Linked DNA regions of Saccharomyces cerevisiae S288C. The protein of the gene in region 1 purifies or fractionates together with the protein of each later gene. This does not show direct contact. Each region holds a gene or a part of one and is shown on either strand. Other genes may lie near its edges. The genes, in order: UTP10, UTP20, ENP1 and RCL1.

The links.
Region 2: the proteins of UTP10 (region 1) and UTP20 purify together in Saccharomyces cerevisiae (affinity purification with mass spectrometry; 6 studies listed by BioGRID). This does not show direct contact.
Region 3: the proteins of UTP10 (region 1) and ENP1 purify together in Saccharomyces cerevisiae (affinity purification with mass spectrometry; 9 studies listed by BioGRID, with this or other methods). This does not show direct contact.
Region 4: the proteins of UTP10 (region 1) and RCL1 purify together in Saccharomyces cerevisiae (affinity purification with mass spectrometry; 5 studies listed by BioGRID). This does not show direct contact.

What each region holds. Positions count from the first base shown.
Region 1 is NC_001142.9:211,476-219,126, reverse strand, and holds UTP10 (snoRNA-binding rRNA-processing protein UTP10), read left to right. Parts: upstream 1-1,817; coding exon 1,818-7,127; downstream 7,128-7,651. Other genes in the region: YJL107C (uncharacterized protein), read left to right, coding at 1-274; pheromone-regulated protein PRM10, read left to right, coding at 271-1,422; GZF3 (Gzf3p), read left to right, coding at 7,550-7,651. UniProt on the Saccharomyces cerevisiae protein: Involved in nucleolar processing of pre-18S ribosomal RNA. Required for optimal pre-ribosomal RNA transcription by RNA polymerase I together with a subset of U3 proteins required for transcription (t-UTPs). Involved in ribosome biosynthesis.
Region 2 is NC_001134.8:225,826-233,635, reverse strand, and holds the start of UTP20 (Utp20p), read right to left. Parts: upstream 6,001-7,810; coding exon 1-6,000. UniProt on the Saccharomyces cerevisiae protein: Involved in nucleolar processing of pre-18S ribosomal RNA and ribosome assembly.
Region 3 is NC_001134.8:712,464-716,045, forward strand, and holds ENP1 (snoRNA-binding rRNA-processing protein ENP1), read right to left. Parts: upstream 1,993-3,582; coding exon 541-1,992; downstream 1-540. Other genes in the region: RRT2 (diphthamide synthase), read left to right, coding at 1-291; HIS7 (imidazoleglycerol-phosphate synthase), read right to left, coding at 2,344-3,582. UniProt on the Saccharomyces cerevisiae protein: Required for normal export of the pre-40S particles from the nucleus to the cytoplasm.
Region 4 is NC_001147.6:306,154-309,541, reverse strand, and holds RCL1 (rRNA-processing endoribonuclease), read right to left. Parts: upstream 1,605-3,388; coding exon 501-1,604; downstream 1-500. Other genes in the region: ERMES complex subunit MDM12, read left to right, coding at 1-218; PLB3 (lysophospholipase), read right to left, coding at 2,133-3,388. UniProt on the Saccharomyces cerevisiae protein: Does not have cyclase activity. Plays a role in 40S-ribosomal-subunit biogenesis in the early pre-rRNA processing steps at sites A0, A1 and A2 that are required for proper maturation of the 18S RNA. RCL1 activates BMS1 by promoting GDP/GTP exchange.

The DNA.
Region 1 (7,651 bases):
CAAAGACGTACCAGTTGCCAAGCGTAGCAGATTACAAAATTTAAAAGGCAAGGCTAAAAAAGGCAGAATGCCTAGACTGAAGAAAAGACTAAAAACTGAAGCGAAAATTACGGTTCACATTGCAGACATTTTACAAAGACACCGGTTCATCCTACGCATGTGTAGAGCTCTTATGATGTATGGTGCTCCGACGCATAGGCTTGAAGAATATATGGTTATGACTTCTAGAGTCCTTGAAATAGATGGTCAGTTTTGTATCTTCCAGGTTGTATGATTGTTTCATTTGGTGATGCAACAACAAGAACTTCCGAAGTTCAATTGGTTAGGTGTACTCAAGGTCTAAACCTTTGGAAGCTGCATCAAGTTCATGCCGTTTACAAAAGAGTTGTCCATGATACCTTAGGTGCCGATGAAGGTAATGCTTTACTCGATCAAATTTTGGCTGACACGAATCTATATCCACCTTGGATGTGTGTTCTTTTATATGCATTTTGTTCCGCTATGGTCACTCCGTATGCCTTTGGTGGCGATTGGGTAAACCTGGCAATCTCATTTTTTATGGGGCTTTGTGTGGGGTCATTACAATTTATTCTTTCACAAAAGTCATACATGTATTCAAACGTCTTCGAAATTTCTGCATCTATTGTCGTTAGCTTCTGCGGTAGAGCTTTTGGCTCTATCCCTCGTTCTCACATCTGCTTTGGTGCAGTTACACAAGGCTCATTGGCATTAATCCTGCCAGGTTATATTATTCTGTGTGGTGCACTAGAACTGCAAAGTCGAAGCCTAGTTGCTGGCGCGGTCCGTATGTTCTACGCCATTATTTATTCTTTGTTTTTGGGTTTTGGCATAACATTGGGCTCAGCTTTGTTTGGATGGATGTATCACAATGCCACTAACGAAATTTCATGTCCTCAATTAATTTCTCCGTGGTTCAGGTTCCTCTTCGTTCCAGCGTTTACCATTAGTATCTCGTTATTAAATCAAGCACACATCTCACAACTGCCAGTTATGGTCTTCATTTCTTGCACCGGTTATGTCGTAACATATTGGGCCGGTAAGCATTTTGCGAATTCGACAGAGTTTACTGCCGCCTTAGCTGCATTTGTCATAGGTGTTTTAGGTAATCTATATTCCAGAATTTGGAAAGGTTTAGCGGTATCAGCTATGCTTCCCGCAATCTTCGTTCAAGTGCCATCTGGTATTGCTTCACAAAATTCGTTGTTGTCTGGGTTGCAAAGTGCAAATACAATTGTTAATGCTAATGAAACCATTACGACAAGCACCTCCGATCCATCGTCCTCAATGTCATTTGGTATGACAATGATTCAAGTTTGTGTCGGTATTTCTGTGGGACTATTTGCTTCTTCACTCTTTGTCTACCCCTTTGGTAAAAAGAAAACTGGTCTTTTCAGTTTATAAGCTCTCACAAGGTCCACTTCGTTAGAAACTTGTTAACCAATGGACCAAGTGTTGCCATTGGGTCATTCTTCAGTATCAAAGAAGACTTTGACCCACTAAGAAAAATTTCAAAAGTAAATTATAAATATAGCATTAAGTACAAATAACATATCAGCTTATGAATCCTTTTTTTCAATTTTATGGTTTCATAGCCAATAATCATAACATACATAGATTAATAATATTCAAGTCACATGACTTTTTTTTTTTTCTTTTTTCTTTCTGCGTTAAGCAAAGAAAAAAATTTTCAGTTAGCGATGAGCTAGATATTTTCGAAGGTGTAACAAATACTTTCTTTATTACCTTTCAGAATCAGACTTATCTAACTGGCCACCAAAGTACGAATAACTTTGAAAATGTCTTCGTTGAGTGACCAATTAGCTCAAGTTGCTTCCAACAATGCTACTGTTGCGTTGGATAGAAAGAGAAGACAAAAACTTCATTCTGCTTCTTTGATTTATAACTCAAAGACGGCTGCAACACAAGATTACGATTTCATTTTTGAAAACGCTAGTAAGGCTCTTGAAGAATTGAGCCAAATTGAGCCAAAATTTGCCATTTTCTCAAGAACACTCTTTTCAGAGTCTTCCATTTCTCTTGATAGAAATGTCCAAACAAAAGAAGAAATTAAAGATTTGGATAATGCTATCAATGCTTACTTGCTATTGGCTTCTTCTAAATGGTATTTAGCACCTACACTACATGCAACAGAATGGTTGGTTCGTCGTTTTCAAATACATGTTAAAAACACAGAGATGCTGCTTTTGTCCACTCTCAACTACTACCAAACACCTGTCTTTAAGAGAATTCTCAGCATTATTAAGTTGCCCCCTTTGTTTAATTGTTTGTCGAATTTTGTTAGAAGTGAAAAGCCCCCAACGGCGCTAACCATGATAAAGCTCTTTAATGACATGGATTTTCTGAAACTTTATACCAGTTATTTGGATCAATGTATTAAGCATAATGCAACGTATACTAACCAGCTTTTATTTACAACATGCTGCTTTATTAACGTTGTTGCTTTCAATTCAAACAACGATGAAAAACTGAATCAGCTTGTTCCAATCTTACTTGAAATATCTGCTAAACTTTTAGCCTCTAAATCAAAGGATTGTCAAATAGCTGCACATACCATATTAGTTGTATTTGCTACAGCTTTGCCTTTAAAGAAAACAATTATCTTAGCTGCCATGGAAACCATTCTTTCAAACTTAGATGCTAAAGAGGCAAAACATTCAGCACTCCTCACGATTTGTAAGCTGTTCCAAACATTAAAAGGACAAGGTAACGTAGATCAGCTACCTTCCAAAATTTTCAAGTTATTTGATAGCAAGTTCGACACTGTGTCTATACTAACCTTCTTAGATAAGGAAGACAAACCAGTTTGTGATAAATTCATTACTTCCTATACAAGATCCATAGCAAGGTATGATCGGTCCAAATTGAACATTATTCTTAGCCTACTAAAAAAAATAAGACTAGAAAGATACGAAGTTAGGTTGATAATCACTGATTTGATTTACCTTTCCGAAATTTTAGAGGACAAGTCACAATTAGTAGAACTATTCGAATATTTTATCTCCATAAATGAAGATTTGGTGTTAAAATGTTTGAAATCATTGGGACTGACAGGCGAACTCTTCGAAATCAGGCTTACTACATCTTTGTTCACTAATGCCGATGTTAACACCGACATTGTAAAGCAGTTAAGCGACCCCGTGGAAACTACTAAAAAGGATACCGCTTCATTTCAAACATTCTTGGATAAGCATTCAGAATTGATAAACACAACGAATGTGTCCATGCTAACAGAAACTGGAGAAAGATACAAAAAGGTTTTATCTTTATTCACTGAAGCTATTGGTAAAGGCTATAAAGCAAGTTCCTTCTTGACTTCATTTTTCACTACTTTAGAATCAAGAATAACGTTTTTGTTAAGAGTAACTATATCTCCAGCCGCTCCAACCGCGCTAAAGCTAATATCTTTAAACAATATTGCAAAATATATTAATAGTATTGAAAAGGAAGTTAATATTTTTACTTTAGTTCCATGCTTGATTTGCGCTTTGCGAGATGCTTCTATAAAAGTTAGGACTGGCGTGAAGAAGATTCTTTCCTTGATTGCTAAAAGACCATCCACTAAGCACTACTTTTTGTCTGATAAACTTTACGGAGAGAACGTTACCATTCCTATGTTAAATCCCAAAGATAGTGAGGCATGGTTATCAGGATTTTTGAATGAGTACGTTACTGAGAATTATGACATATCCAGAATTTTAACGCCAAAGAGAAATGAAAAAGTCTTTTTGATGTTTTGGGCTAATCAAGCCCTACTAATACCTTCTCCGTATGCCAAGACAGTGTTGTTGGATAACCTGAACAAGAGTCCGACTTATGCATCTTCTTATTCCTCCCTATTTGAGGAATTTATTTCCCACTACTTAGAAAACAGATCTAGTTGGGAAAAGAGTTGTATTGCTAATAAAACAAACTTTGAGCATTTTGAGCGCTCTTTAGTTAATTTGGTATCACCAAAAGAAAAGCAGTCATTCATGATCGATTTTGTTCTCAGTGCTCTTAACTCAGATTATGAGCAGTTAGCTAACATAGCTGCCGAGAGGCTTATCAGCATATTCGCTTCATTAAATAATGCTCAAAAACTAAAAATCGTCCAAAATATCGTGGATTCTTCGAGTAACGTAGAATCATCGTACGATACAGTCGGTGTACTACAATCATTGCCGTTAGATTCCGATATTTTTGTATCCATACTAAATCAAAACAGTATCAGTAACGAAATGGATCAGACAGACTTTTCTAAAAGAAGAAGAAGACGTTCATCAACAAGTAAAAACGCATTTTTGAAAGAGGAGGTTTCGCAACTGGCGGAATTGCACCTGAGAAAGTTGACGATTATTTTGGAAGCACTTGATAAAGTCAGAAATGTTGGATCCGAAAAGCTTTTGTTCACTTTACTTTCCTTATTATCAGATCTGGAAACTTTGGATCAAGACGGTGGATTACCGGTTTTATATGCGCAAGAAACTTTGATTTCTTGTACGCTGAACACTATCACATACTTGAAGGAACATGGCTGTACAGAACTAACCAACGTAAGGGCAGATATATTGGTATCCGCTATTAGAAATTCTGCATCTCCGCAAGTCCAAAACAAACTATTACTTGTAATTGGATCTCTTGCTACTTTAAGTTCGGAAGTTATTTTGCATTCTGTAATGCCTATCTTTACTTTTATGGGAGCCCATAGTATTCGTCAAGATGATGAATTCACAACTAAAGTTGTTGAGCGTACGATACTAACTGTTGTCCCTGCCTTGATCAAGAATAGCAAAGGAAATGAAAAAGAGGAAATGGAGTTCCTTTTGTTGAGCTTCACAACCGCTTTGCAACATGTTCCAAGACATAGGAGGGTTAAATTATTTTCTACGTTAATCAAAACACTTGATCCAGTAAAGGCACTGGGCTCGTTCCTTTTCTTGATTGCACAACAGTATTCTTCAGCTTTAGTCAACTTTAAAATTGGCGAGGCAAGAATATTAATTGAGTTTATTAAGGCCCTACTCGTTGATCTACATGTCAATGAGGAATTATCAGGTTTGAATGACTTACTCGATATCATCAAATTGTTGACATCATCAAAGAGCTCCTCGGAAAAGAAGAAATCACTAGAATCCCGTGTCTTGTTTTCAAATGGTGTCTTGAATTTTTCGGAAAGTGAATTTTTGACATTTATGAACAATACCTTTGAGTTTATCAATAAAATAACCGAGGAAACAGATCAAGATTATTACGATGTGAGGAGAAATTTAAGACTAAAGGTATATTCTGTTTTGTTAGATGAAACAAGCGATAAAAAGTTAATTAGAAACATCAGGGAAGAATTTGGAACCCTTTTAGAAGGTGTTCTTTTTTTCATTAATTCTGTAGAATTAACCTTTTCATGTATAACTTCCCAAGAAAATGAGGAAGCTTCCGACTCTGAAACATCATTATCAGATCACACGACTGAAATAAAGGAGATTCTATTCAAGGTGCTTGGCAATGTGTTACAAATTCTACCAGTTGACGAGTTTGTTAATGCGGTATTACCCTTACTCAGTACATCCACTAATGAAGATATTAGATACCACCTAACGTTGGTAATAGGGTCCAAATTCGAGTTAGAAGGCTCTGAAGCTATTCCTATAGTTAACAATGTGATGAAGGTTTTGCTCGACAGAATGCCTTTGGAATCTAAATCTGTTGTTATTTCTCAAGTAATATTGAACACGATGACGGCTTTAGTGAGCAAATATGGTAAGAAGCTTGAGGGGTCCATATTAACTCAAGCCCTCACCCTTGCTACTGAAAAAGTTAGTTCTGATATGACAGAGGTCAAGATATCTTCGTTGGCATTGATAACTAACTGTGTTCAAGTTTTAGGAGTCAAGTCAATTGCGTTCTATCCAAAAATAGTCCCACCTTCTATTAAATTATTTGATGCTTCATTGGCAGATAGTAGTAACCCATTAAAAGAGCAGTTGCAAGTTGCTATACTGTTGCTGTTCGCCGGTCTAATCAAAAGGATACCAAGTTTCTTGATGTCAAATATTTTGGATGTTTTGCATGTTATTTATTTTTCCCGTGAAGTTGACAGCAGCATTAGGCTGTCAGTAATTTCATTGATAATTGAGAATATAGATTTGAAGGAAGTTTTGAAAGTTTTATTCAGAATTTGGTCCACTGAAATAGCAACGTCCAATGATACAGTTGCTGTTAGTCTATTTTTGAGTACATTAGAATCCACTGTTGAAAATATTGATAAAAAATCCGCAACCTCACAATCGCCAATATTTTTTAAGTTACTATTATCTTTATTCGAATTTAGATCCATTTCCAGTTTCGATAATAATACAATTAGTAGGATAGAGGCATCCGTTCACGAAATTTCCAACTCTTACGTCCTGAAGATGAATGACAAAGTATTTAGACCGCTATTTGTTATATTAGTAAGATGGGCGTTTGACGGTGAAGGCGTTACAAATGCAGGTATCACTGAAACAGAAAGACTGTTGGCATTTTTCAAATTTTTCAACAAGCTTCAAGAAAATTTGAGAGGTATAATTACTTCCTATTTCACGTATTTGTTAGAACCTGTTGATATGTTGTTAAAAAGATTCATTAGCAAGGACATGGAAAACGTTAATTTAAGACGTTTGGTAATCAACTCTCTAACCTCTTCGCTAAAGTTTGATAGAGACGAATACTGGAAATCAACTTCCAGATTCGAGTTAATTTCTGTATCCTTGGTCAATCAACTATCTAATATAGAAAACTCTATTGGGAAGTACCTGGTCAAGGCAATTGGCGCTCTGGCTTCTAACAATAGTGGCGTTGATGAGCATAACCAAATTTTGAATAAACTAATCGTTGAACACATGAAAGCTTCCTGTTCCTCCAATGAAAAATTATGGGCTATTAGAGCCATGAAGTTGATATACTCAAAGATAGGTGAAAGTTGGTTAGTTCTATTGCCACAGCTCGTTCCCGTCATCGCTGAGTTATTGGAAGATGATGATGAAGAGATCGAACGTGAAGTCAGGACCGGTTTGGTCAAGGTTGTTGAAAACGTTTTAGGGGAACCTTTTGATAGGTATTTAGATTAGAAAAAAAAGGTGAAGTATTATGTAAATTTTTGTAAAGTAAAACACTATGCTGTTGAACGAAATCTTTCATTGAAAATATTGTTATTCATTCGTGATAGCTGCCCCTTTCTGAGTTTGAACTTAATATTTCAATTACGCTACTTCAAGTTTCAATGAGATATTATTCTGTCATCTTTCTCGTCGTTCCTAGTGATTAACGTTACTAAAATTACTGATCCTAAATAGCGGGCGAACAGAGTGAAAATTTTCTTATCTTCGCTTATCTGCGCTTATCAATCCTAATCAGTGAAAAATAAGATATAGGCTTGATAATAAGGTAGTTTGAAAGAGAACATATTGCAAGCGGTTGAAGCTATAATACTAGATATACGAATATCATTTCGGGTATTTGTACTGTGCTCTACAATTCTACTGGTAATATTATGGCATCGCAGGCTACAACTCTTCGAGGCTATAACATTAGAAAACGAGATAATGTATTTGAACCAAAATCAAGTGAAAACCTCAACAGCTTAAATCAAAGC
Region 2 (7,810 bases), on another chromosome or scaffold:
AAAAGCAAGGCCTTGTCTGCTTGGTTCATTTAAATCTGGTAAGACCCTCCCTAGAACATAACTCAAAGCAGTATCCTTTAATGTTGAATCTGTGTGACGTATAAAGGCAGAAAGAAACTTTAAACCCATTTGGCATAATTCGCTTGAAGTTGAAGGAGAAACCTTGATAATATTTAGTACCTTCCTCGCACAGTTTTTGAAGATTTCACTAGATTCATCGGAAAAATCTAGCCTAATTAATGTAATCAGGATACGTAAAGTACTAATTACCACACCTTCATTTTCCGAAAGTAACGAATCTCTCAAAAATGGAATAAAACCCTCTAGGTGCGAGACAGTTAAAAAGGAGCGGTGTCTCGTTATTACGTTCCTAAGTAAGTCTAAAGCAAATTTTTGTAAAGTGCTGTTCAAAAGCAAACTGTTTGAGTTGATGGTATAAGATTTCGACTCCAAATTTACCAAGAAAAAGTCTTCTTTTTCATCTACTTGGTCTTTCACTTTTTTCTTTGGTATTTGAGGGGAATTACTCATTTCTGATTCCTGGAAAAGCTGATGGCAGAACTTGAGGATACTTTCTGACTCAGAGTCACTATTATGATTTAAACCCAACAAATATCGTCTCAATAATTCACTCAGTTTGTTTTGATTTCTTAGATTAATTCTGACCATCAACAAAGCCTTCACAGGAGAGAGTAATGTTCCAAATTCTGTCAGGCTGATGTTTGAGGCGAGAATTTCACCAGCATCATAGCTTTTATTACTCTTAATTTCTTTCACTTTTGTATGATAATTCTCAGAGTCTTTTTCTTCACCAGCGAACCCAAAGATATTTTCCATTATAATCTTAACAATCATACTGGACGAGGTATCCAAATCGGAGTGTTTTAAGACTCCGTGCATACTCTTTAATATGTAGTGGACAGTGTAACTTAACACATGAATTTGAGAACCACGTTTTAATGTAGCCATTAATTCCTTTATCACAAAGACAAGATACTCAGCGCCCAAGATAATACTGATTTTACCCAAGGTTACTCTTACTGCATCTCTTAATTCTTCGGATTTACTTCTCAAAACTTGGCAAATATTTGTTAGAATACTAGGGAGGAAATTAGTAATATCATCATTTGTGAGCCCTAAAACAATATTAACTAATGCCTCCGCAATAGGCATTCTTTCAATTATAGTTTCGTCATCTCTAGTGCCAAGAATTTTCGAAAGAGTCGGATACAATTCTTGCTTAATAAAATTACTGGGTTCATCTAAGTTGGAAGGAAATTTGCTCAAAGTAAGTTTCGACTCAGCCCCATCTCTTACGATACGAAGAGTTTCTCTAAGTGGAACAGAAAGTTGAACAATTAATTGTACGGCTTGCTTCATTTGGTTAGGCTTGGTTTTCAACATAGAAATGTACCTTCTAAGAAGAGCTTTGTATTGATTCCAACTCATGTGCTGCGCCAACCCTCCGATGGCTATTTGGGTCTCATTTCCAATATTTCTGTATCTTTCATCATCCGAAAAGACATAATGTTCGATCATTGGAATTAAATAATGGGATATACTGTTATCTTTGAGTTGATGAGCATGTTCACCTAGTCTTTTAATGGCTCTCTGACGACGATGAAGCTGAATATGATTAACGTTTGTAAAAAAATCTGCTTCTTCATCACCATTGTACAGTAAAATGGCCATATCTTCGAAGTCGGTGAAATATTTCGTGTTTTTTACCATATATGATAGCACTGATACATACTCACTTTGTACCTCTTCTAGGGAGTCTCTGAGGCCAATCCTTATATTGGGTAAAAGTATATCCTTCAGCATAGAAATCGATTTTGAAGCTTCATTAAGATTAGGCTTTTCGTTAATGAAGTCAATAAACTTCATTATAGCGTGGGATGCGTTTGTTCTTAACGCAAGTTCTTCCTTATTATTGATAAAATGTAAAAAGGTGAACAACAGAGGTAACCACTCTAACTCACTGTAGGACTTATAACCATCTTCAATTAACCCCTTGAAAGTTGATAAAATTCTAGGAAAATCATATTCATGCATACGTGATGAGGAGTATGAATTCAAGTCCGCAACCAATTTCGAAATACTTTCTAATTCAGGAACTTTTCTACCGAGTTCTATGAAGAGCTCTGTCAAGGAAACCCTGAGGTTTCGCTCGTCAAATGTTTTGAACAAAGAAGATATGGTAGTGTATAGTTCTTCAATATCACTCCAAGAACAATTGTAGTTGAAAACTATCAGCTTTAATATTTTCAAAATTTTTTGGGTATCATTTTCCTGCAGTTTTTTTAGCTTTCCTTTTAATATTGATATTAATGAACTAATTAAACGACTTCTAACATGATCATCTTGAATAAATCCCATCTCAGTGATACTAACTAGCAAATTCAAAAATGTGGAAATCGAGTTTGAGTCAGAAAGTTTGACATATAGCGAAGGAAGTATTTTCAGACATGATGTGCAGATGAGAGTCACCAAATCTACGTAGTGATCATCATTTACTGGATTTCTAATAATTGAGTCCGCCGCTTCAATTATTGGGCCAATAACAGCTTCCTTAACGTGTTGGTTTGATATGGTGTCCATCAATGCAGTGGCAGTTGCAAATTCATCGTAATACAAAAACTGGTACAGAGATGGATTGTGTGCCCAATAAAGGAAAAGTCTTAGTAAAGAGGAGGGTTGTTGTAAGTTTTCATCCGAAAAATGTGAAATACGAGGCTTAACTACAACGGCGTAAATATCTTCCATAGAAGTAGACCAATCAAATGTATTTCCAACAAATTCAAAGACACTACTTAAACATTTTAGACCTTGTTGCCTTAAATTACTTGCCATCTTTCTTAAATGTACCTCCTCTGTGCTCTCAGTATCTAAGACATAGTATGCCATAGCAATTGAATAGATCAACGGCTGCAGCACTGAATTAGTATGCAAAGGAAAATTTGTTCTTAATACAGACAGAGTAGAATTTACAATGTTAACGAAACCAGTCATCCGTCTGATAGTTTTCAAGGTAGCCTTTGAGCTATTTATTTGATGGCTGTTCCCAAAAAAATAATTATAATCCAGCCTTTCACTAGCCAAACTCAAAAAATCATTAATATATGGCTTCTTAAAATTTGGCAAAACTGAAATGACAGCTATTTTGCGGCTTCTTTTCTGTCCACTAGTTGGGGGGACTTGTGCTCGACCGAAGAAAATTCTAAGGACATAAGGCATGACTACCTTTTCGTCCTCAGCCTTGATAGACTGCGACCCATTTTCGGTTAAAAAAGTCGTAATCTCGTCCTTGAATAAGGTGTCATCTAGTAGATTTTTCAAATTATCTCTATATTTATTCAACGTTGGATTTTTGTATGCAAGAAGTGCGTCCAACGCAAGCTTCTGAACGTCTGTATTACGGCTACCCAACAGTACCATCAGATGATCGTGCAATTCTGTTGCACTATAAACATTCTTTATATTTTTGAACTTGCTTAAAGTCTTTAAAAACACGTTTCTATCAACTTCTGTCCATGAACCAGTAATAACACGTTCATTTTCCATATCCTCTTCATCTTTGTAAGTCTTGAAGTCATTATAAACAAAAGGTGCGATGTCGACGAAGTGATTTTCAGCAACTTGAGGAATCGATAGCATAACTTTTAGAGCCTGATTTCTAATTAAAATTGGGTAGGTGGTGTTCCCCCTTCTTTCAATAGTAGTAGATATAATGCTCGTATTTTGAGTAGAATACTTTGACCAAATATGTGAGAACGTATCAATAGTGTCCCTTAACCTCACTACACTCGAATCCCACAGAACTTTGTTTGCACCATCTTCAAGAAGAGGCTGGTAGTAATCCAAATTTTGATTTTCATCAGGAAGTTTAATGAATGATAGCACAAGTTTCCAAACGAGGGCTTCATCTTTTGTGTAAACATTAGGAAGAGTGTCAAAAACACCAGTCCAAACTGGAGAGAATCTAACGGTAAGAAGGCCAAATAAGTATTTGAGAAAGAAAGAGGATACTAGCTTGTCTGTTTTGGTTTTTCCGAATTCGGCACCAACATTCTTGATTCTAATGGTTAAATCTCTGGCATTTTGTAGTGTAAGAGGTATTTCCTCGATAACCATACATGAAGAAAGGAGGTCAGGTACTTGCATACCCTGCAAAATCATTAATGTCTTCATTAATTCTAAAGTTTCATAACGAATCTTCCCATCAGGCAACATAAAATTATCTGTCAAGCTAAGGAGTAGACTTGGATAGTGTGACATTAGTCCTTTTAAGCTTTCTGAAGGATGAAGATTACTCACTAACTTGTTCCATCCTCTTAAAAAGTTTAAACTTTCTTTATAGTTTTCGTAATTATCCAGAATAGTCTTTAATAGATTATTCCCTGAAGCGTCGTCTTCTTTACGATATATTTTTAAGAGTGTACCGACCATATCTTTCGTAAAATTATCTGGTGATGCAAAAGTTGAAAAGATACGTTCAAGCAATGGGATAATAATTTCTGTATTCTGTAATTTCGAATATTTAAAAATTATAGCTCGCCAATATATTTCGAAAAGGTCATTCGAATCATTAATTTCTGCTGTGACAAAAAAATCTCTGATAGATAAAATAAATTCTTCTGGGAAATTTACTTCCCGTACTTTCTGCAGTTCAGGCTTATCATCTACTTCTAGAAAAAAAAGTGCAATTTTTTTTCCTTGTGATTGCCAATTTTTCTTTAAAAATAACTGTAGGAATTTTAATCCATTGAATGAAAATACTCTTTCATAGCTTAGCCTTAAAGCAAATTGAAAGAATTCAAGGAAACAGTCAGATATATTTGTTAAAGCGTAGTTAAAAAGTTTTTGGTGGAATAATGTTAAAGTTTTCACGTCACTGTTACGAATAAATAAAGCAAATAGGAAAGCCACTTTATCCTGTGAAAGCGAAGCACAATTTTCACTTTGACTCATTATTCTTTCAATTAGGATAGTAATTTTATTCCAATCAGGAATTTTTCTACCACTTTCCGAGAAGACAATTGTTGTCAATACTTTTAATATTCTATCGATATTGGTGGCATCGAGAGAATCGTTAAAATCCTGATACATAACTTCATAGACTGGAAGTAAACTTTCGATTGAGGCGTACTTACTAATGTTCATCCAAATATCTGAGAGCAATGAAACAGATCTTTCCGGGGATGATTTGGTCAAAGCTTCATGCAAAAGAACGCTCATGATAGCTTTAGCTTTCGAATGCAGAGTTTCTTGCGTTGACGTCATGGATTCTGTGAATAATATCAGAAGCCCTTCGTAGAGGTTAGTTTGCTCATCATCTCCCTCTAACTTTTCAAAAACTGATCTAACAAACTCGCGCAAGTTAGAAACAGGACACTTTCTTACTAAAAAAGATAATGCTTCTGCTGAAAATCTTGAAAGATATTCCTTAGAATGAGACAATAGTGGAATTAAAAGATCACATGTGAGTACCAGTTTTTTAACCAAAAATTTCGAGAGATACTTGAAAATATAAGCCAAACAGTTGAAACCCCACTCAAAAACATTAGATGACTCAAATTCTATAGCAGCGTCTAACAGATTTATTAAAGTTTTGATAGCTTCTTCATAAAATTTAAGAAAATCTGGACCTAAATCATGACAAAATTGAGCCAAGAGGTCCAGAAGCGGTTGCAAAGAAAACTCATCGTGAAAGTTAATGAATGAAACCAAAGAATTAAAAATCTTTTTATCATGATATAGTATTTGGGGTAATGTTTGAACATCATGCTCAATTTCCGCTGCAAACTCCGTAAATTTGGCACTTAAATTAATTTCTTTCCACTGATCAAAGGAAGCGAGAAAATGCGACGACTCGACATAATCATGTACCCTTTTTTCCAAATTTCTAGCCGGTTCAATCTTCAAATCGTCAATCCTAGCCTTGAAGGAAGAATATCTATATCGCTTAGACGATTTAGTAGTTTGTCTTTGTTTAGCCATACTTTCAATGAAATATGTGTAACTGATACTAGAAATATACCAATACGGCCAACAACGTAAAACTGGATGTAAACAGGAAAGAATATGATCTTTAATTTACAACCTACACTACCTGTTTAATCGGTGGTTTTTACGCTACCAAATTTAATAATGCAACTTTTCAATGCTCATCGGTAAAAATTTTCGGAAAGACATAAACTCAAAATTTTTTCTTTACAAAAGTCCGGGTGACATTACATACATACGCCTTCAAAACACTACCTTAGAAAATGAAGCGAGAGGTACATTTCATTAGCTTTAAATGAGCCAGGAAGAAATACACTGCAGCCGATATAACTCATATAGCATACTTTTAACGGGTGATAAGTCGTTACGAAGAAGGCCAAGTTCTATGCCAATCTTTTAATAAAACATAAACGTGATGCTTTTACCACGTATTCCATTGACTTTACGTACTCTTATTACTGTCCAAAAAATAACGACAACTGCAGGACTCGAACCTGCGCGGGCAAAGCCCAAAAGATTTCTAATCTTTCGCCTTAACCACTCGGCCAAGTTGCCTCGTTTTACATGATATCATAACTTACCAGAATAAATAAACCGTCATTATGAATTATCTATAAATATCAAACATGTATGAAACTGGGAATTCTGATAAATTTTGTCATAACTGTTGGGATTCCTGAGAAATGGGGGAATGTTGAGATAATTGTTGGGATTCCATTGTTGATAAAGGCTATAATATTAGGTATACAGAATATACTAGAAGTTCTCCTCAAGGATATAGGAATCCTCAAAATGGAATCTATATTTCTACATACTAATATTACGATTATTCCTCATTCCGTTTTATATGTTTCATTATCCTATTACATTATCAATCCTTGCACTTCAGCTTCCTCTAACTTCGATGACAGCTTCTCATAACTTATGTCATCATCTTAACACCGTATATGATAATATATTGATAATATAACTATTAGTTGATAGACGATAGTGGATTTTTATTCCAACATACCACCCATAATGTAATAGATCTAATGAATCCATTTGTTTGTTAATAGTTTGAATGTTTTTATCGGAAGAGGTTTGGTCATTACGTCTGCAATATTCTTTTTGGTTTCGATATAGCATACGTGCAGATGATTTCCTGATACTTCATCTCTCAGTCTCATTGCTTTAGTACCAAAAAATCTGTTTCTAAATTTCTCTTCATTATTGGATATAATTATACTGATTGTAGATTTACTGTCGGTTAGTAATCCTTTGGTAATTGGTTTCTTGTCGAGTTCTTGTATCAGGTAACTTAGATTATTTAATAATGGGACAGATTCACTTATTGCGTGTATTTCTGCTTCCGTGGTTGAAGTACATGTTAATGAAGCCTTGGTGGACTTTCCTCCAATTACTTTTCCATTAAGTAAATATATGTTGCCAATTTGTGATTTATAATACGGTTGGTTACCATACGAGGCATCGCTTATAACAACTAATTTATTTGTTGGCTTAACAGGTTTGCTTTTGTGCCATATTAATTGCTTATCTCTCGTATTCCATATGAACTGTATCAATTCATATGTCATATCTAACACTTGCTTGGACGGAAATAGTATATGTTGTGCAAGTGTGTTGATGTAGTATAATAGGTCAAATCTAAATTTATATCCAACATATGATGCTAGACCTATCAGCTTTTGCATTTCATGTACCTTCATTTTGTAATCATCTTCTTCTAGCTCTAGTTCTTGCTGGTCTATATATAGACCTGGTTGACCTGGAGCGCTAAGTTTCCTTCCTTTTGGGTTCAAAG
Region 3 (3,582 bases), on another chromosome or scaffold:
CCCACAGTTAATAAATTGGCGTGTGATCTTGGTGGCGGTGTTTGGAGATTTGTTGAATCCCCCATTGATCAGGAACAATCTCACCACAACGGCTCCGATCGGCTTTTAGTTTGTTGCATGTACAATGGTGCCAAGGTGGTGACCATGAATGATAATTCCGATGAGTATTTTCAAATTCAACATTATCTGAAGAAGGGCCATGATTCGATGTGTTACGGTGGCGACTGGTCAAATTCTTTGATCGCAACATGCTCATTTTATGATAATTCCTTGCAAACATGGATAGTTTAGAAAAAAAAATTCAGTCTGCAATATATGGACTAATATATAGGCTAATATATAGGCTAATATATAGGCTAATATATAGGCCATATTTTGATGATTTCGATAGATTATGCATAAAGAATTGATAGGAAGGAACTTGCCTGAACAATAATCTTTTACTCTATATTTTCTACTTATTATACATGATTCAGAAGCTTTGTTGAAAGGGGGAAAGACCGAGCGATATAAAATTGATGAAAAATTGATATTACAGCATCAATTGACATCAATCATTAAATCATCATTAGCTTCCTGTGGATCAACAAACTCCCTGCTGGCTCCTGCCAATAGTTCTCTTCTAATCTCAGGACCGATATCTTTATGGCCTCTTTGACGAACAGTTTCCAACAAGAAATCTCTCTGATCCTGGGTAATATCGTTCTTGTAACGTTGTGCAAATGTTAAGAAAGCCTTGTGCCATATCACTGGGAGTACTCTTGTAGCATCTTCCCCATTACTACCGTCATCCAAAATTCTAAACCTCATAAAGTAATACACGCAGTCGTCCACCGTCTGGTACGGTAAAGCATATTTTTTATCGAGCAATATTTTGATAAAAACAGTTGTAGGTGGAGAGAAAGGTAGCCTTAAAAGATAACTCAAGGCAGCTGAAGAATGTAAAGCCGGAACAGAGACTTTAGCAAGCACACTTCCTGCAATTGTCGCTTCACGTACATTACACCCTGTTTCAACCAATGGGAATAGGAAACCTTTGAAGAAGGCACTTGGTTTATAAAGCGATTTTTTCACCGCACGGTATATATGATAGTTTAAAGAGTGGTCTTCACTGGTCTCGATATTGTCACGGAAACGTTCAAGTAAAATTAGGTTAATAAATTTTTGAGATTCTTTAGCAGTTAGGTTGGATACAAATAATTTCGTTGCTTCGTAAACAACGTGTGGTGACCATTCTTCCGGGTTGGTCACATAAATGACATCTTGCCAATTTCTTAAGGATGGGATAACCTTGAACAACTTTGGCAACTTACCGTGCGTCCAAGTTTTTAAAATACTACCTACCGTAGTATATGCTTTGATGACCTTCTCTGGAAGTGCAACACCCTCTCCACTCTTCAAACCGGATGAAATATTGCCTCTTGAGGTATTCTGTTCATTAGCAAGTGGTTCATCATCTTGCATATCTTCAACTTGACTTTCCTTTTCTCGGATAGAGGCCATAATCTTGTCTGCAAGATTATAGCTACCACTTAAAGAGTTAAAATCATCTGATTTCTTGAAATATTGCTCAAACATCGCTGCGTCTTCTTCATCGATTTCAACTATCTCTTCCTCTTCTTTATAATCACCTTCGGGTTCAAAATCGGAGATGTCTTCTCCAAAAGCTTCTTCGTCTTCGTCTTCGTCTTCGTCTTCATCATCATAGCTCATGGTGGTGAATCTGGCTTCAAATTGCTTGTTTCTTTCTGATTCAGCAAGTTCCTCACCTTCAATTTCATCCTGTTGTTCCTTGGCCAACTGCAAAATTTTTCTTGATGCTTTGGAGTCTATGTATCCATCTTCCTCATTTGCAGCATCGTGATTTGCAGCATCGTTCTGCGCTAGCTTCTTTTTATTGATTTTTTTCAAGGTACCTTGAGCTGCATCTAAATCCTTTAAAAGTGGATCATGCCTCTGTTTTCTGGCTTTAGTAGAGGATGCTCTGGCCATTATAGTTAATCTTTCTAATATATTGTTTTATCTGTAAGTCTTAAAACGAGACAAATCTTGGATTTAAAACAACTTAGTGCATATTTCCTTTCGTCAATGTTGAAGAAGTGGGAGCTCATCGATTTTTAAAAATTTTCATTTCCGATGCCTCGCTAAAAAAAAAAAATGAAAAAGTGGAAAAATATGTTCTATTTCTTCCCCTACTGACACCACCAATAATACAACCATATAAGTTGGTACAATTTCTCCAAGCTGTACATCCTCTTGTGTTGTGAAATGTCTGATTTAACATCTATCATTATTGCGTATATAGACTGAGTCAAGATTATAAAGTATACATATCCAACCACATTACTCTTCATCCATTCTAACCTTTAATCCGTGCTCTAGTAAATACTCCTTTACATCGTTAACAGTGAATTCACCTCTGTGGAACATACCTGCACCCAAGCAAGCATCTGCGCGGGTCTTTAGGAAGGCCTCTTCGAAATGTTCGGGTACACCGGCGCCACTGGATGCAATGACGGGAATCTTGACCGCATCTTTAACATGTTCTATCAATTCCAGATCATAACCAGAATTAGAGCCATCCTTGTCTATGCAGTTCAATAAAATCTCCCCAGCACCTAGAGCTTCACATGCCCTTGTTAATTCCCACACACCAAGGTCTCTAGATTCTCTTCCACCTTTGATTGTACATTGGTACCAGCAGTATTTCTCTCCATTGGGGCCCGGATATTCTGTCTCGAAGACTTTGTTCTTCGTATCTGCTTGTGAATTTACATATACTCTCTTAGGGTCGACAGAAATAACAACTGCCTGAGCACCGTATGCTTTCGAGATTGTCTCTATTGGTGACGTTCCATCTCCTCTGTTACCCAACTCGTAGTATTTTTCGGCTGCATAGACTGCATCCGTACCGATCGATACTTTATCAGCACCAGATCTGAAGTATAGACTTGCAACTTCTAAAGCAGGTATTTTGGTTCCATCAACATCGACAATATCCTTGATCCCCCCACCGACTGTCAATGGAACAAAGACTGTCTTTGCGGCTTGTTTCAGAACCTCTAGCATCGGAGTATCCTTCAAAGGACAATCTCTAAAAGAAGTTATATTCAAAAATGTTACTTCATCCGCACCCTGTTGGTAATATTTCTGTGCCAACTGAACAGGCTTACCAAGGTTTCTAACACCTTTACCATCACTTTTTTCACGTACATCGTATTGATCACCTTTAGTAACCACCAAATCACCTTGGTCATTAGTACGTACATCAAGACAAGCAATAATTCTGCGTGTTAGACCATAATTTGAATAGTCATTCATTAAGAGTTCCTTCTCTTCCGCACTATAGTTTGGAATCGGAGGACTTTGTTGCTTCAAAAAATTCTCAATGACGTTCAAACCAGCTTTACCTGATTTTTCAGGATGGAACTGAGTAGCGAATATATTATTCTTGTTGACTGCCGCAATAAATTCCTCTGAACCGTACTTAGCTTTTGCAATTTTCCAACCGTCATTTTCTAGGTTTTTTTTCTTTTCTGAATTCAGAATGGCAGCAAAAGAATGGACGAAATAGTACCTCTT
Region 4 (3,388 bases), on another chromosome or scaffold:
CAATTCTGGCAGCTACTAAGCCATTGGAGCGAATATCCATTGTGAGAAGTATGAAGATTGAAACCGAAATAGGGGAACAATATCAGGGACAGGGCTCAGTATTAAGAAGTGTTGGAGAACTAGAACAGTTTTTGTTTACGATATTCAAAGATTTTTTAAGAAAGGAGTTAGCATGGCCAAGTTGGATTAATCTGGATTTCAACGATGGTGATGAGTAATTTAACAAAGATAGTTTGAAAATAGTGTCTACATAAAAAAACAAACATTTTTGAGCTGGAAAATTATATTTTGTCATGAAGTAATCTATTCTTAACGCGCTTTTCGCATACGCTCTTTGATGATATTTTAGATGACCCAAAAGAGTTAAAGGAAATCATCAATGATCCTCCAGTAATCTTATACTCTAGACAGTTGTCCGTGAAGTTACACCTAAATAATCATATATATATATATAACTTATATACAGTGGTCTAATATCTATTGAATAATATTAGAACATGCTATGCAATCTTTTTGCTTGTGTTTGTGAAACCAATACCCTTGATAGTAGCTATCATGTCTTCATTATCCGCCTCGTCAACTGGTTTTAAAAAGACTTCAGTATTAAAGATCTTCTTAATATCTCTCAAGAGGATTATGAATCTTTCGTCTATCTGTTCCTTATTAATTCTCAATCTGCCGATATCTTCTTTCCCGATGACCATGTAAACAATTGCTAATGGAAGCTGGTTTCTACCAACTGCTGCACTCTTTGATATTTCTTCTAATAATTGACAGGCAACTTTTTCACCAAGTTCTTCAGGTATAGAACCTGCATCACCGATATCTTCTGCAAAATAACTCCAACCTTTCTGCTTGGACTGAGCAACCAAAGTAATACCCCAGCCTGGACTCTTCCCTGAATTTTCACCTCTCCAGACATCTGCCGTTATGTTAACTTCGCATTGCAGATTTTTCAATACCTTCTTAGCACCATCGATCATTCTATTCACAAGCGACGGACTTACTCTGGTAGAGTATGCTACACCGGTAATCGATGAAATTATGGGCCTATCTATTTCATGCATAGTTATAGGTTGCGCAATCAAAGAATCAACAACCAAATGCACTTCGCCACCTCCTAGTGGTGGTGAACCTCTTTTCAAAGTATGTAGGGCGCACTCTCTAACGCCAAATTTTTCCATAACGGGCATGAGTCCCCATTTGATAGCTTCAATACCGGCATCGTTGTGAGATGCAGTTATGCCTTTGAATAATATAGAAAATTTCTTTTTTGAAAATGGAGCCAAATATAGCATTGGTTCGACGAAATAACCTACCGGTTTGGAACTAGGGCAGATATGAGTTGATGCACCACCAACTATGATACCGGGCCTATAAATCACAGTAGTACCGGTATAAGAAATTTCAATTACACTCCCGTTGGTGACCGACTCGATCAGCCTTAGAAAAGACACTTCATAATCTTTCAGACCGGGATTTAAGTCGCCTGAACGGATTTTTTCAATTTTTATTGGTTTCCCTGATAATGTTGCCAAGACGATCCGTAACCTAAAATTTTGTGACCCTTGGAAAGTGGTGTATTTGGGGGCGGAAGATGACATTGCTATACTTTTGGAGGATTATCCTAGTGGAAAAGTGTTGACAATGGTGAAGCTTGACAGATGTTATACCCTTACAACATACGTAGCTTATGAAGGCTCATCTCATCGGCACTTTTTTGCAAATTTTTCTGAAATTTTTTCAATCTCGAGTCCGTGAAAAATTACATTACCAATATGGCGAGGGTAATTCTGACATCCTCCTTCAAAGTAAGTGCAAGTAATAAAAGCAACTTGACTACCCATTTAAAGTATTAATACGCTTTGCGCGGGGTTATAATTATAAAGTTATATCTTTTAAAGAAGAGGTCTGCTATATATAGACCTCCGATGTCATTAGTGAAGTTCCTTAAACATGGTCTTGCCCGAAAGGGATGATACTTCAATGCAAAGGGGAAATGCTCATTTTCTTTTTTTATTTTAGTTTTTTAGTGATTTTGCTAGTCTTTCAGCTTTATGTTTCGTTATTTTATAGTGTAGTTCTTTGATTTTTATTGCCTCATTTTGTATACCGTTATTACGCAAGAGATATTATACTGCTCCGGTAAACATCAATAAAGTAAGCATAATCATAGCAGAGAACTTTACACTTATGCCAGATAAATGTGATCCAGAATTAGTAGCTGCCTTTTTCTCAAGGGTTGCAGTAGCCGAAGGAATTTCCGAAGACGAAGATGAAGACGATGATGAAGACGATGACTGGGAAGCTGAAGATCCGGCGTAAAGACTTTCTTCTTGTCCTATGGAGCTGTTGAAGCTATTGACGTTGATAAAGGAGTGGTGAACATCCTTTTCAACATCTGGTAATGGGGTAGTATCCAGGGTACCATTCCAGCAATAATTTTTAAAACAGGTTTCACATTCCGGAGGCAAAGTAATATTCAAAGCTTGTTGCTTACGTCTAATGATGGCGCAGCCGACGCAGCCCATGAATTCAGGATCATCAGTGAAGTTGTTCCTAGTTGCAATTTCAAACCCGTTTTGAATCATACTTCTTCTTTGGGATTCGGAATATGATAGCTTGAACGCGCTCTGATTACTATTGAAAGAGTATTCTGCATTTGGCAGATAAACAACTAGAGGTGGAATATATTGAAGATCGGTCAAATTATTAGCATCGCAACCGAAGAAGGTTGGTTTCTTGTTCAAACCCAAATTAACGAATGTATTCGTATCTGGAACATATGGGAAGGACATACCTTGACCTTGCTTAACGAATTGACGCTCATAGGTATGGACTAAAGAAGAACCGTCAGGCCAAGCCAATCTCATATCGGCAGAATTATCTACCGCAAAAATAATGTCCACATCACGTTCCTTTTGTATAAGCGGTAACACAGGAACATTTTCGTCGTCTTCACCGCCGTCAACTAAGAATAGGCTGTCTGAATCAACAATACTTGTCGTATAGTCACTATCCAAAAACTTCGTGTCTTTAAATGGATTAGGACTGTAAACAGCGATATCATTAAAATCTTGAGATAAATCCTTTAGAAAATGTCTTGCTAATCTTGTGATGAAACTAGGTAAGTGAGTGGAGTTTATTCTCAAAAGAAACTGGTTAAATAAGGTGGAGGAAGTACCCATGATAAAACCTGCATTATCAAAGCCTGCGGTACATTTTCCCCTTTCCAATGGTACACCATTGGAGACATTCGTTCCAAGGTACTTAACGTTGGCAAAAGAGTTCAAAGAGGGATCCCAGGATCCCATTTCAAAGGGATTAAATTCAAAAACCGTTGCGTTCAAATTGATGACTTTTGTTCCAGGATACCTACCGTCCGCAA